Drosophila melanogaster: one gene and its partner. The protein of the gene in region 2 interacts with the protein of the main gene of each other region in a pairwise test. Each region holds a gene or a part of one and is shown on either strand. Other genes may lie near its edges. The genes, in order: CG32354 and Pgant6.

Region 1 (7,989 bases), 5.6 Mb from region 2:
TCAGATACGTTTTATTGTCGCTGCCGCAAACAGGCTCGAATTCCCTGGGACAGATGCGGGCACATCCTTTAAGCTGAAAGGCGGCAAGGCAGCGCTTCAGTGGCACCACGAAAACATGCTTGCCACAATTCTCCTTGCGCATGTGGCACTCGGACTTGTACAAGTTGTTGTCCGATCCGCAGACGAAACTTGGCGGCTGGGCATCACAATCCGATTCGCAGTCGGCGGTTAAAGCGCAATTCTTTAGCGAAACGGGCACCACACGCAGATCGCAAGTGCGCCGCTTGAACTCGCACATGGAGGCGAAGGTGTTGCCATCCGAGCCGCACACTGGCTGCTGTTCCAGATCCGCCCGAGTACAGGCATCCCCGCAATCCTTGGTGGGCGAATTGAGATCCGTGCAGGGACCAATGTGGGCCAGATTCACGCCGCGTCTGAAAAGAAGTTGAAGAGCTAGATCCATGTCCTATGGATGATCCTATCATGGATACTCACAGGCAGGTGGCGTGGGCCAGTTCGCACTCATTGTTATAAGTCTTGGCGTCCGTGCCGCAGAGCTTGTCATTTCGCTTCGAGCTGAAGATGGAACCGAACAAGCTATTGAAGTCCTTGCAAGGAGGCAGCTGTTTGCAGCGGGTCAGTCGATTCTTGCACTTGTCCATGCTCACTTTTTGAATGGACTTGCGCTGTGGACTGAAAGATAAAATTTTAGTCTGGTTATATTCCATTTTTATCTCATCCAAACTCACCCGCAATTGAGCATTTTGAGTTCACACAGCGAAGAGTATATGTTGCCATCACTGCCGCACACGTACTGCGACGAGGAATCCGTATCCGATTTGGGACACTCCGTGGGACAGGCATCGGAGGCTCCGTGCCTCTCCTGCGACATGCAGTAGGATAAGGGAACCTCAAAGACGTGCTTGCCGCAATTGGAAGAGCGCATCTTGCACGGACTGGCATACAGTCTGCCATCTGATCCGCAAGTGGGCCTCGCCACACGCCAGCAGGATTCCCTGCACATTCGTGTGGACTGACAGTGCTTCCGGCTGGTTTTCACCACACCCTGTCCACACGTCTTCAGCTTCATCTCGCACGTGGAGTTGTATACATTGCCATCCGATGAGCAAACTGGTCCATCCTTCGGCGCACTGTTGCAGTCAACCGGACAGGACTCACGCACGGCACTCGTGTTGCTGCAGGGACCCACATGCGATAGCTTCACTGCAGCCAATCCCACGCGACACGATTGCACCCTCAGCATGCAGCGATTCAGATAGGTCCTTCCGTCTGTACCACACACTGGATCCTTCTCCGTGCTGCAGCGGTGCTTGCAGTCCGAACCCTTCGACCTCTCGCAGCCATCCCGCACGTCCTTGATCAGCGACACTCCACTGCGGGAGCAAGTCTTCTTGCGCAGCTCGCAGATATTCGCATAGATCAGACCATCGCTGCCGCACACGGGCTCAGCTCCCACGGTGATGCTCGGTGGACAGGATCGAGGACAGTTGCCGGTGCCGGTGTTACTAGCCCTATTCCGTCTGCCCATCTGTGACAGCTGCTGTTGCTCCGTCTCCTCGCGCAGCAGCGACTCCAAGGCAGCTGCCGCCGCTCCGGGTGCCTGCATCAATGTGGACGACAGCTCCGGTCGCGCATCCTGACGATAGTTGATCAGCAATGAGTTGGGCGCCGCATCTGCACTGCGATAGCGGATAACTGGCGCCTGCGCCGGCAGCCGGATAATCTTGATGGGTGAGTCTGTCACAGCGCCTGTGGATGGAAATGATTTTAGAATTTAATTGGTTTCTATCTAGAAACTTAATTCTAAACATTTAAAGCAAGACAGTAGTTCCTCCTCCTCTGTTATATGAACTTATTAAACAAAGCTTAGTAATAATTACTACTTCCCCGCACGTAATGACCGGTTGTCCATCGAATTTTCCCAGGGTAACTCTGTTTCGAGACCGCCAAATGAAACTTTCCCTTCGCATTTTCCACAGCTCTTTAGCGGTGGCATGCGGAAGAGTCAACTGTGGGCATACAAATGTCAGATTAGCCGCACGATCATAGGGCATTTTGCGCAGTTGTGACCCACTGTGTCCATGCCGCCACCCGCCGACACTCCCCCGCATCCGAGACCAGTCTCTGATTCTGGAGTGATCGCATGACCGACTCAAGTAACCAGCCATTAACTTGAATAATTCTTTCCCTTTTTACTAACGGCAACGGCAAATGTTACCCGTCTTCAAATCTCGATTCCAAGTAAAACGACACAATGGCATTTATGTTTTGGCTGTGGTTTGAGCACAGCTAATACACTCGCTTCGTTCATACGGACTATCAGCGACCTCCATCTATAATTGTTCATGCTAATCCCCTCCAGAAATCGTAAGCTTAATCTGTGCTAAAAACTGCAAGTGAAATTTCCACACTAATTGCCTCCGGCGCCGAACATTTCTGTTGTCTTTGGTCGGATGTGGAACTGCTGGTTTAGTTTGGGTTGATTTGTCCATTTTTCTTATTTTTTTTTTTTTTTTTGTTTGCAAAGAAAGCTGTGAGAGCCGCCTCCGGAGGAAGCACTCAACTTAGTTAAAGATATACGAACGTAAATAGACATACCCAACAGCAGTAGAAAATCTATTAGCGCTCTTTGAGGCTGCCACACGATGGTTTGGCTGCGATAATTGAACCCACGTTCATTATTCCAATTTGCTGCTGCCGGCCATAAAGATGGAAATTTCAACATCCAGCCAGCCAGCCAGTCAGTCAGTCGAGCAGACGCATTCTCAGCTTAATGGACTCGGATGCTTCTCTGGCTGGATGCGAGTCCGAATCTGAATCGGAGGCATCGGCATCCAGAGGAGCCATTAAGCGCGGAGAAAATTAAGCGGCGTTAGGAATTAATGCACATGTAAACGATCCGCTGGAATGGTCAGAGGCAAAAGCCGAGACCACAGCCAATCTCATTCAGCATTGCAGCAATGCGACCTCAACCGCCCCACCCACTCTCACCAATCCTGCACTGGCAGAAAAGTGTGGTACTAGTCCTGGGATAAACTCAGAATCAAATCACTCATGCAAACTAATGGTACAAACTTATACAACACCATACACCATACTATTTTGCATTTTAAATACACCTCTGATTTACTGATTTCCTTTTGTTCATATGTTCTGCTGATTTCTCCCAGTGCAGGTGCATTTTCCTGGCCTCCAGCGAATTGCTGGCAGGCTCCTGCCTATCGGATGCCATCAATTGCAAAAAAAAAAGGCGAGAGAAATAATAAAAGCAGCCACCGTATAATTTTCAAAAGTGGAAAAATCCAGCAACCAACGCACTGCACTGCTGGGCAGGGACTTTTGCATGATATATACTGGGTATGTACATATATATATGTACATATGTACATACATATCTATATATGCACATGGAGCACACCATGTGCACTCGGTTTGCTCCGGTTTGGTGTGGCACAGTGGCGAGCAGCGACATGACCAAGCCCATAGATGAATGAATCACGGCGCCACTGATTGGGGCCATTAAAACATATATGTACATATGTACATATATATGTGTATATGCATGCGAGCATATATCACAGCATCCAAAACTAATTGATCTTTCACCCATCAATCTCCGATGAAGTGCGGTTATCAATTAGCCAAACGATCGCGCTTACAAGTCAAATAAATCATTTCGCTTCGGGTCAACTTTAAACGATGTAACCCCCCCAATTGACCCCCAACCCTTTCCAGCTCGCTGCCACTGTGCGGTCAGCTTGATTTTCCCCCCCCCCCATGAGCTAGCGATTCGCCCCTCTTCCACCAGCCCCCCCCCCCCCCTACGTTTTCAGGCCCCCGGCTTCTGTTTGGCCCCTTCGTGCTTTTAATGAATTTATACGAATGTTGGACAAATTGTGCACGAAAATATTTACGAGCATGTTGTGCGTCGAGGAGTGAGTGCCTCAAACTGGGGAGTTCGTGGTCTAGGGGGCGGTGGGGGGAGAGGTGTTGGGGCATTGGAAGCTTCGCGCTCGTGTATGTGTGCCAGTTTACATTCACTTTGTGCGGAGTAGTACCTTAGAAATGGATAGTTGAATAGCTGCTGCGACGGCCTTTCTACCACCGCACAGCTGTAGGTCTTAGATCCGGACCCCGATTCACCTTCTCCGTTTCAACACCCGGAGAAATTAGGCGGTAATTGAGACGGCACTCACTGGGACTTGTCCAGTCTGTCTGCAACTTTCATTTAGCTCAAGATCAGTTGCCGTTTTCCGCTGAAGAACTCGGGTTTCCCTAGAACTCTGTCCGCAGTTTTAACTGCAACTCAATAACGATGTGATAGTTAGGAGAAAGTACATTTAGCAAGAGGAAAACTAATACCCTTTGAAACTTGTATTAGGCCCTTTTAAATGTAATGTTAACTAATCTGGATTTAAATAGAGCATTCTTTACTTTAGCAATGGCTTAAGAGTTCCATAGTCAGTTTTCTCTTTTATGATTATATTGGACTTAATGCTCTGCTTAAGGAACCTAGTTTTATCTTAATCTGATTTTAATTTAGTTAGGAGGAACTTTGCTGAATCTGAATCAACGTATACTTCTTTAGCTGATTCATTTCTTGAGGCAATTAAACAATTTGAATAGTGAGAATGCCAGGAAAGAGATTCGAATGATCTAAGACTACTTCCTGTGACTTTCTACTCAACGTGTAGCACCAATTTTGGGATTTCTCGCAGTGTACGACTTACCACTGGTGGTTGACGCAAATGCCGCCAACGTGAACATGGCCAAGAGTGCGCCAAACAGCTGTCGCTGGCTCTTGGTGCCGCCAAAGCTGAGGCCCAGACTGGGGCTGTGGTTATGGCTGCATCTGGCGATCTGGCTTGGAGTCTGGCCAAGTCCGTGGGCCTGTGTTTGGGTGGCGTTTGGGGCGGGGGGCTGCAGATGCAGATGCAGATGCTGTTTGTGGTGCATTTTCGCTGGCTGTCTGCTGCACTTTTCCTATTAGACGCTTGATGATTTGTTGTTGCCGCTCGGATCGGATGCGTGCGTGATGTGAGACTGAGGCGTGCGGCGCTTTCGCTCGTTAACAATTGAAATTGAAATAGTAGCAAACTTTTATGCGGCTGCGGCTCACGGTGGATGAAAGTTTTTTTTTCTCTTCCTCGGTCGATCTACCAGGGAGATAGAGATATAGTGGTGCTATATAGTATATGGACTATATAACTGCTCGTAATGGCGCTTAAGCTGTTCGAATTAACGGTAATCTTGCGGTCATTTGGGCCTGGCCTGCTCTTCTTCTTCTTCTTCCTGCTCTTCTTGTTAACCGATGTCGTTGTGTTGCCTTCTCTCTCTCTCTCTTTAGCGCCCTTTTACGAGTTCATTCGTTTGCCTATCAACATCAAGCTCCCGTGTCTTACGCTGTCTTCTGTCTCTTTCGCTTTTCCCTTTGCCTGCCGGGCACTTGACCTTTTCACACAATCGCACAATGGAGCATAATTTCTTTTTTATCGCCTTGGCTTTATGGCTTTTTCTTGATGTTTTGTGGATTTTTGCACGGCCCGCCTTTAATTTGATTTCAATTACTGGTTCTGGTAAGGCTTTATTTTCCTTTTATTTGCTTTTTATAACGTTTTTCTTTTTTTTTTCGTTTCTATTATGCGCACAAAACAATTCGCTTTTGTCCGTTACTCTTTTGTCGTTTGAATTTGACTTTGATGCGCGCTCTTCGAGTTTCGATTCGCATATGAAAAATGATCTGTCTTTCGGATTTCGATGCTGCTGCTACTGTTCTGCCTCGGCCGATGCCTCCGCTGACGCCTACTGCGACGCCGACTGCGACTGCAACTGCGGCGATTGCATTTCGTATTTCATTTCTTCTTTTTTATTGTTCTCGAATGAATGAATGAATGAATGGGCACTAACACACTCGCGCTCGCATCCGATTTGTACAATTCGTATTGTCGTCTTTGCCTCTGTTTCTTTTTTCGCCTTTTTAACTTTTTTCTTAGGCCTTTGTTTAGTGCGCTCTAGAGTCGCTCTGAAATCTCGGAAAGCTTGGGCTCCAAATGCGACTGGAAGGTTTGACAATGCGCCGACGAATGGCAAAAAATTTGCAATGAAAAGAAATTTATATGGGTGAAAGGCAGCGCAGTCGGCGACGGCAGAGCAGAGCATCCAGCGCTGTTGTTGTTGCAGCTACACTCGAAACAATTCACTCATCTTTTGAATACTAAATCAAGAGTATTTCCAGTTAGGACAAAAAGCACCGCTTTCTTTAAGTTTTTAAAGTTGAAAAACAATGAAAAAATAAAAATATATATGAATAATAATAAAAAAGTTATAATGTACAATAACAGCAATGGTGGATTGTAAAAGGATACAATTCAAAGATATGCATGTCTGTGCAGTTTCAAACTTTCAAAATGTAACATATATTGAGAGCAGTAAAGAGAGCAAGTAAATTTAAGTTAAAAATGTAGTCTAGTCTTGATCTTTTTGAATAGACCTATATTTCTTTTTAAACTTTAACGGTTTACTACCACAAGTTTTTCGAGTGCATTGTTGGGTGCCGGGGCATATTGATTAAATGGAGTTGTTGGTATTTAAAATAACAACTTGGTCATGTCTGCCTGGCCTAATCGGTTTTGCGTACAAATTTAATTTGCCAAAAGTGGCAGCAAAATGCAGCCAAAAAGGCGCGCCGCATTTGAAATTATAACTCACACACTCGATTCGATTCGATACGATACGATTCGATCGGATCAGATGCATCCACATCCACGTCCGTGCTCCCCCAACATCTCCGATGCCCAAACCCAAGCCATACCATCCCACATCCAATATACAATATTCACGATCCGAGTCCACGATTCAGTTGCAGTGGCATTGGCATTGGCAGTTGCAGTTGCAGTAGAAAGTGCAGCCTGGAAGCTGTGTTTATAGACTTGTAGACTTTAAAGCCATAAATTTTACGCCTCAGCGGCCGTTGCGAATAAGGGTCACACACACATAGCCTACTATCACCTTGCACAGTGTCCTGATGCCAATTTAAGGTGCATGTTTACTAATGCATTCACACAAAAATATTTGATTTTGGCATAGTTTAGCTATTAGAGCTTAGACCTTATCTAATTGTCTTAGGTATTATATATTTGATATAATAATATTTTAGTTAAGTAATTCTAGCTTATGTTAAAAGGAATACAAAGTAATGCTACCCAAATAAATAACTTGCTAGTAACATAAAAAATGAAGTTATATTTTAAACTATAAATAGTAAGTAAATAAATGTTCTTAAGCAAAACATAATCCTTAATCTTTCATGGTTCGGGACATATGAGCTTTAAGTTAATATTCAATCTTTTTAAGAATTTTAATGTTGCTTTTTTTTCTTACGAGTACTTTCCCTTAAAACTTTGTGCAATAAATCATCATTTTTGGGAAATGCGTTGTGGGTGCTTAAATTCCACATGTTTTGGAACCACTGTGCGCTGGCGGTGGGTGGAGGAAGGTGAAGAAGCAGATCATTGGCGGCGGAGTCGCGTGCATTAAAGAAAATTGAGTGGAGGTGGAGGTGGAAGTGGCCGTCGCATGGGAAAAGAGGTCAGTAAGTGAATGTTTACAGTTAGCTTTTTGGGCAGATCAGAGAGAGCCAGGTCCAAAACAAAACCAAACAAAACAAAACAAAACATAATGCCGAGCCGATCTCAGCTCGACGGAAAAAGCCAAACTGCATATGACAGGCGTGACTCGGCTTTAAGCGCCAGTGCCCAGAACTAATACCCCAAACACGACGAGCTGCAGATCCCATAGAAATGAGGGGGACAAACCGCAGGAAAAGACCGCCAAAAAAAAAAAAAATAAATAAGAAACTGAAAACAGAAGAGCAAAATTTAATTAAAAGAAAGCCAGGCTGGCGCGGAGACGTAAAAACCTTTTGGCAGCCGTGCAGTTTCTTTTTTGGCCAAATATTTGACGGCGCTC
Region 2 (6,375 bases):
ACAACTATTATAGTTTGTAAATGCTTTTTTTATCATTTTCAAATAAAAGCAAATCCTTTGCCATCATTAAGTTACACACCCCAAAACGACTTTTGAGTTTCGCGGGGCGCTCGGCGTACACCTTTTACATAAACTATACGTATATTGGCATATGATAAAGCAGAAACAAAACCAATTAACACTCAACACTGAGCAGCATAAGTAATAAGCGGAAATAAGAAATCAGAAATTAGAACTCAGAAATCAGAAAAGAGCTCGAAGATATCGCACCTGACTTAGCGACATTCGGGTGCAGAATCAGATAGAGATACGATATAGCGAGATACATACATATTGTAAAACGATATACAACCCGAGAACGTATATAAAGATTGTGAAGCACGAAGCGGATGGATGAGATGGATGAAAAACGTAATTATATTTATTTAAAGTACGCGCATGGAAAGCAAACAGATATTAATATTAAATAAAACGAAAACAAAGTTAAGATCGCCAGACTGCATTTTTCATTTGCAACAACGGGGGGATACCCATACCAGCACTTCTGATAATTATTTAAAAATATTCTTTATTGGAAAACACTTCTTGTGGAGTACAAAGTCATACGGTTGTCAAACTTATGACAATTTAGAGGCTAATACTAGCATATTCGGAATCCTGTTTGAAACCAAACAAAACTCCAAAGCATACGTAACGCTACAAATTATTTTTGTGGCATTTGGAATTGGTTTGAGATGCACTATATTTAAGGTAAAGATACTCTCTGTTGCATCCTCTGTTGCATATGTGCGCTTGAGTCGGGGTAAATTGTTATGTGGCCAAGCGGCCGTACAACCTATCTAGCCTAGTTATTTACATCGAAGTGTTCTAAGTACATGGCAAGTGATACTATTGCAGGGCAGCGGTTACAGGCTGAGGACGAGGTCCTGCGAGTAGTTGTCCAGCGCTGTTTTGTTGAACGAGCCGAAGTTCCACTGCTGGAACCGATTGTCGGTGTCGCACTTGTTGGCCACCACCTCCTGGGAGAAGGGCAGCAGCTCCAGGCACCTTCTGCCCTCCGTGCCGTGCTTGAGCTGCTTGTGGCGGTAGTCGTAGTACCAATACTGGTTGCCACCCTGGCTGTGGCAGTCCCACAGCCAAACGGGCGCATTGGCATCCCAGATCTGGACGTCCAGGCACTCCTTCTTTCGCCGTAGGCGAAGGTCTCGCTTCCAGCTCAGCTCCCAGAACTGCGTTCGCTGCGGAGTCTTTATATTGTCGGCACACGCGTACATGCCCATCTTGTTGTGCTTCTTTCTGCCCAACGTGTCCAGGCACAGATTCTGATTGCCCACATTCTGCAGAGCGCCCATGGCATAGGACGGCGGATCCACCGGCGGATAGGTCTTCATCAGATCGAAGGCCACCTCCTCCATGAACCATTTGAAGGACTTGCAGTTCAGCTTGGTGCGGATGGCCTTTTGCTCCGTCAAATCGCCAGGATCCACGCTCTCGTACAGACCGTCTCCGTGGCTGTACAGGTAGTTCTTGTACTCGTCCATCCACACCTCCGCCACTCGCTTGTAGTTCTGCAAAGTAATCAAGAGTTAGTCGATGGGTCTAATTAACTGATTGATTGCCTTGATAAGAATAATAATTACTGCGAAATCGTTGGCGAAGAAATCTTAAATAAAATTTGTTGCCATGGCTGCAATCAAGTTAACTTCGAAAGCCATAAACCCCTTTTTAAATATGCGCAAATATTTTTCACAACAATGTGTCAAGTTCGGATAGCTACATGCCAGAGTAAACAAAACAAAGATATAAAGATATACCACGAAGAGGCAACATATAAATTTCTAATTAGAACCAACACGCCAAGTTTATCCGCCAAAAACAAAAACATAAAAATAAAAACTTGTAAAATGAACTAGCGAAGTTCAGAGACAAAAGAATTTTATGAGGTCTTAAAAAAATTAAGAAACTAAATGGGAGTGTCTGTTAATGTTGGATGAAACCCGTTTATGGCTCAATTTCCCATTCGCCATTTAGATTACTCTTTATTCTCTACTGCTAAACTCACCTTGTGCAGGTAATCGCCCTTCCTGGGACTCGGCTGATGGTTGCGAGGTCCGCGATAGATATGCCCAATGCGGGAGCAGGGCGCATCGTACATTTCACCACCACACATCCAGATCTTGAAGCTTAGCTCATACTGTTCTCCGCCCCAGATGTCCAGGCCCTCGTCGTAGCCGCCCAGTTCCCAGAAGAACTCCCTAGAAATGGCAAATAGACCGCCAGCCATGATGGGACTCTTGAACGGATCGGCCGGATGCTTTAGATCCTCTGGCAGCAATGGCAGGCGCTTGTAAAAGAACTCCCAGTCGAACGCTCCTCGGGCTCCCTCATCCTGCGCCCGGTAGTGGAAGTTGGTGTGGTCAATCACATCGATAAAGGGACACACCGCCGTCCGTTTGTTCAGGGCAATCGGCTCCAGCAACGGTGGCAACCAATTGTAGTTGGCCTCCACGTGGGAATCGAGGAAGATGAGCACCTCTGCAGTGGCATTCCTTGCGCCCGCCGCTCGGGCACCAATCAGTCCCGTGCGCCTTGGCAGCCTCACCACGCGCACCCACTTAAAGTGTTCCGCTATATAGGTCTCCAGCTCCTTTCCCAAATATTCGCGGTCACTGTGATCGTCCACCAGGATTATCTCCTTCATCAGCTCCGGCGGCGAGCGATTAATCAGACTGTGAACTGAGCGCATCAGCACGCTCAGGTATTCGTTGTAAAAGATGATGATCACACTGACTGTGGGCAACTTCGCTACGTACTCCTTCTTGCGACATCTGCAATTGAATTAATAGATTAAAATAAATTGGAATTGGCAATAAATTATTCGTTAACAGATATCACTGCACTGATATAATTAATTCAATATCTTCCTACTATAAAATAATAAGCATTTCAAGCAAGCAAAATGGTCTTATCTGACTTTGAAAATAAAACTGATTTGGAGCGTCACATTAGAGAAGTGCCCATTTTGGGAGCCACTGCCTTATCTCGACTCCTATATTTAGCGAAACTAAGTGCTTTTTGATGAACAACTCACAGAGGGTGGCGGATGTCGGGCACCGAGCGGTTAACCGATATGGAATCCGAGAGCAGGGCATTAAATCCATTTTCCAGGGACATTCGCTTCTCCAAGTCTCGCTGGGACTCATCGTCGAGCGTCGATGCCTTTCCGCCCTCCCCGAGGCCCACGCGCTTGGCATCCTTTTCCATGAAAGTATAGTCGTGCCAGTCCTTCTTCACCGAAGCGTCCGCCGGCGCAGCCATTTGGAGCTCCTCCTGGGGCTGCTGTTGCGGTTCGTCGTCCGCCGGATGCGGATTATCGACTTCTTCCTCCACCGGTTCGGGCTCATCGATCTTCTGCAGCTCAGGATCCTCTTCGAAGTCGGGTTCCTGTGGTTTCTGAGGTTCTGGTTGCTTTATAGCTGGCACCTTCACCTTGACATCGCCGGAAAGGCCAGCCTTTTCGGGCACGGGCTCCACGCCATGATGGACTGGCTTGTTGGTGTACGGAGTAGATGAGATCCAGCTGGTTATCAGTACGAAGAGAGTCAGTGAGATCAACAAGAGCAGCGAGGCCTTCACTATCCACTTGAGATTGGGTCGCCGCATCTTTGCCGGATATCCGTGGCTACGTGTGCGCTCTACGGGTCTCTACGTCAACCATTAATGTCGGTGAAGTATATCTCGCGGTAATGGTGATATTGGTTTGTTAGCTCAGGTGCTGCGGATGTTTGCTGGCTTGTCTCTTTATCTGGCGGCACTGCAACGTGGTCTGTGGGTGAAAGAGAATAGTAGAAAAGTAGAAAAATTCAGAAACGTAAGCACATATGTATCTTTTTGGGTCGCACATACAAAAAATACAAGATAAGCGGCGAGTCATTTTCACCAATACGAAAGTTAAGATAATAGAAATGATATTTAACTGCGCTGAAGGAACATCCGCTGGATAGTTACCTTATCGCAGACATATGTCAATGAATGTACTATAACTTAGAAACACTTCAGCGACTAACTTTGTTTATAATTCCGGATTTTATAATTTTAATCAGGTGAAACGTCATCAGCAGGTGAATTCTTATCAGGAGTTTGTTCTCACCTCTCTACGACTGTATTCTACTCAAAGCTCCATCCAAACGGGGTTGAATAAACTTATTAACTACTAAAATACTAATTAGCATAGCAAAACAAAAGTTTGCTTCCACGTCCGCGGAAATTCGGTTTTTTTGGTTCTGTTCTTGGCGCTGTTCTAATGCCATTCACACGGGCACGCCTTCATTGTAAACAGCTGTTCGGACATTCACAACGAAGGAGGGGCGTCGTAAAGGGGGATTACATGGTTGCCCAGTTTCAATTCAAAATTATTAACAAGATAAATATTGTAACATTCAAATACTTGTTATGATTATTTTTTAACAACTTCTCGCTTTATTGGTTCACTCAACTATCCAGTTTCCTAGGCAATGTTCAACATCTTCTTGACCTCCTCCTTGTATTTGCCCAAGTTGTACTCGTTTTCGCCTTCGTTTATCAGTTTCTCCACGCATTCAGCGAATGACTTGCTGGGAACCACTTTTGGAGCACCCTTCTTGGCGTTCCAGTTGAGGATTCCCTCGGCGGAGACCTTCGACTGGTTACGCTCGAACAGATAGACCTCCATGTCGGCCTCCGATTTGGTGGCCTCCCACGGCTCGGTGACAAAGGATTCGTGATAGCAAGCGGTGAGCAGATACAGGGCGTAGTCGTAGTTCTGCTTCTTCTGCGGACAGCGATCCGTGACGAAGGTAACGAGGTCCGTGTCCTTGTTGTAGCGATCGCCCACCAGGCGCAGGAACTTATCCCTGGCGTGCGCATCGAACTTCAGGTCAGAGAGCTTCAGGGTAATGGTGACGCGCCTGGCCTCCGGATTCCTGATCGTGGGCAAACTCTGGCAGTAGTCTGTGGTGGTGACCTCCAGGGGGAAGTGGCGCTGCCACTTGGCCTCTGTCTCCAGACCCTTTGGCCATGGCGTGCAGAACTTCTTGATGGCTTCGCATTGCTGACGGATGGCCGGCGGTGTCAAGTGCAGAAAGTTGGGTATCTTCATCAGCTCTGCATTGGCGAACTTCGACGGAGCTGCTGCTCCGCGTTCCGTGAATCCCTGCCGCAGTGGCAGAGGCACACTGGCCGGGTGGAACGAACGTGGTCCTGGCCAAACGGCCGTCCAGTCCTGATCCACCGCCATGCGGCCAGTGCGCGGCGGTGTGATGGGATCCCGACGGACCTGCTGGCGCTTCTGCATCTGCTGCTTCACCGTCCGCAGGCTGAGCACTCGGAATTCTGGCCGATCAGGAAGATATATCCATTATAAAACGTGTAAGCCAGGGAAACTTAATTGTTTACCTTCATCATCCTCAATTTCTTGCCGCTGCTCCTGGTTGGAAAAAACACGAATACCGCTTTGCGCCGTCTGTTTTTTCAGTGGCAGGCGCTCCAACAGGCGAGTCAGCGCACTGGACATGGTTTTATGTTTAATTTTAAGCTTAGATACCTAATTTTAACTAATATTTCCAGCGATTTATGCGGCTTTTACGTAAACCATGCGCCAACGAACATTCATTCGCGCCGAATAGCAAGCAATCAGCTGTTTACAGAAACTTGCCATTCACAGAGAAGCATACAAATAAAAGTAACGTCTTTTTAAATCATTTTGTAAACTGCTAGTTGTTTTTATTTGTACTTCATTTTTAGCTGAGGGTTTAATAAATTCTGGTAGTTCGGTTAAATTTTGCTAGAATAGTATCCGTTCTTAAACTTTTAGCAGCACCATGAAGAAATACGTCATCTTTTTCTTTTATATATATATATATTTATTCAGGTAAAATAATAAAAAATATAACTCTCATGTACTGTAATATGGCTAAAAAGGATAAGTTCAATCACACCCATGTCGGAATCACCGTTCGGGATCCCAAATCCCTCGTCACCTCGCCGTCTCGTGCAAGTGCTCCTTTTATGTACATTATTTATTATTAGTAAAACAATAGAAAACATTGCGTTATGCTGTAAGCCCCGTGAACTATAGCTACCGTTAACCTAGTCGATCTGTGAAGCAGTTGCCTAGTGGATCTCCTGCTTCCACTTGTCGCGCGCCTCCAGTTTGGCCTCCGGAATCAGCGAGCTCTTGGCGCCGCCCAGGATGTTGGTGGTGGCCTGGGTGGCCAGCACCGCCGGGCAGACGACCAGCTGAGGGATCTGGCGTACCACCGCGCCCACCGCTCCGCTGTAGCCCTTCTGGTCGTGCTCCGTGATGGCGGCTTCGATGAGTGTGTTGGCCGATTCGTT

What was found.
Region 1: the proteins of Pgant6 (region 2) and CG32354 interact in a two-hybrid assay, tested with the Drosophila melanogaster proteins (one large-scale study listed by BioGRID).

What each region holds. Positions count from the first base shown.
Region 1 is NT_037436.4:8,416,090-8,424,078, forward strand, and holds the start of CG32354 (uncharacterized protein), read right to left. Parts: upstream 6,117-7,989; 5' UTR 4,978-6,116; coding exon 4,752-4,977; intron 1,771-4,751; coding exon 750-1,770; intron 694-749; coding exon 496-693; intron 435-495; coding exon 1-434.
Region 2 is NT_037436.4:2,780,189-2,786,563, reverse strand, and holds Pgant6 (polypeptide N-Acetylgalactosaminyltransferase 6), read right to left. Parts: upstream 4,310-6,375; 5' UTR 4,009-4,309; intron 3,827-4,008; 5' UTR 3,664-3,826; coding exon 3,092-3,663; intron 2,829-3,091; coding exon 2,063-2,828; intron 1,569-2,062; coding exon 906-1,568; 3' UTR 554-905; downstream 1-553. Other genes in the region: mRpS35 (mitochondrial ribosomal protein S35), read right to left, coding at 4,508-5,370, 5,434-5,551; Atg2 (Autophagy-related 2), read right to left, coding at 6,151-6,375. UniProt on the Drosophila melanogaster protein: Glycopeptide transferase involved in O-linked oligosaccharide biosynthesis, which catalyzes the transfer of an N-acetyl-D-galactosamine residue to an already glycosylated peptide.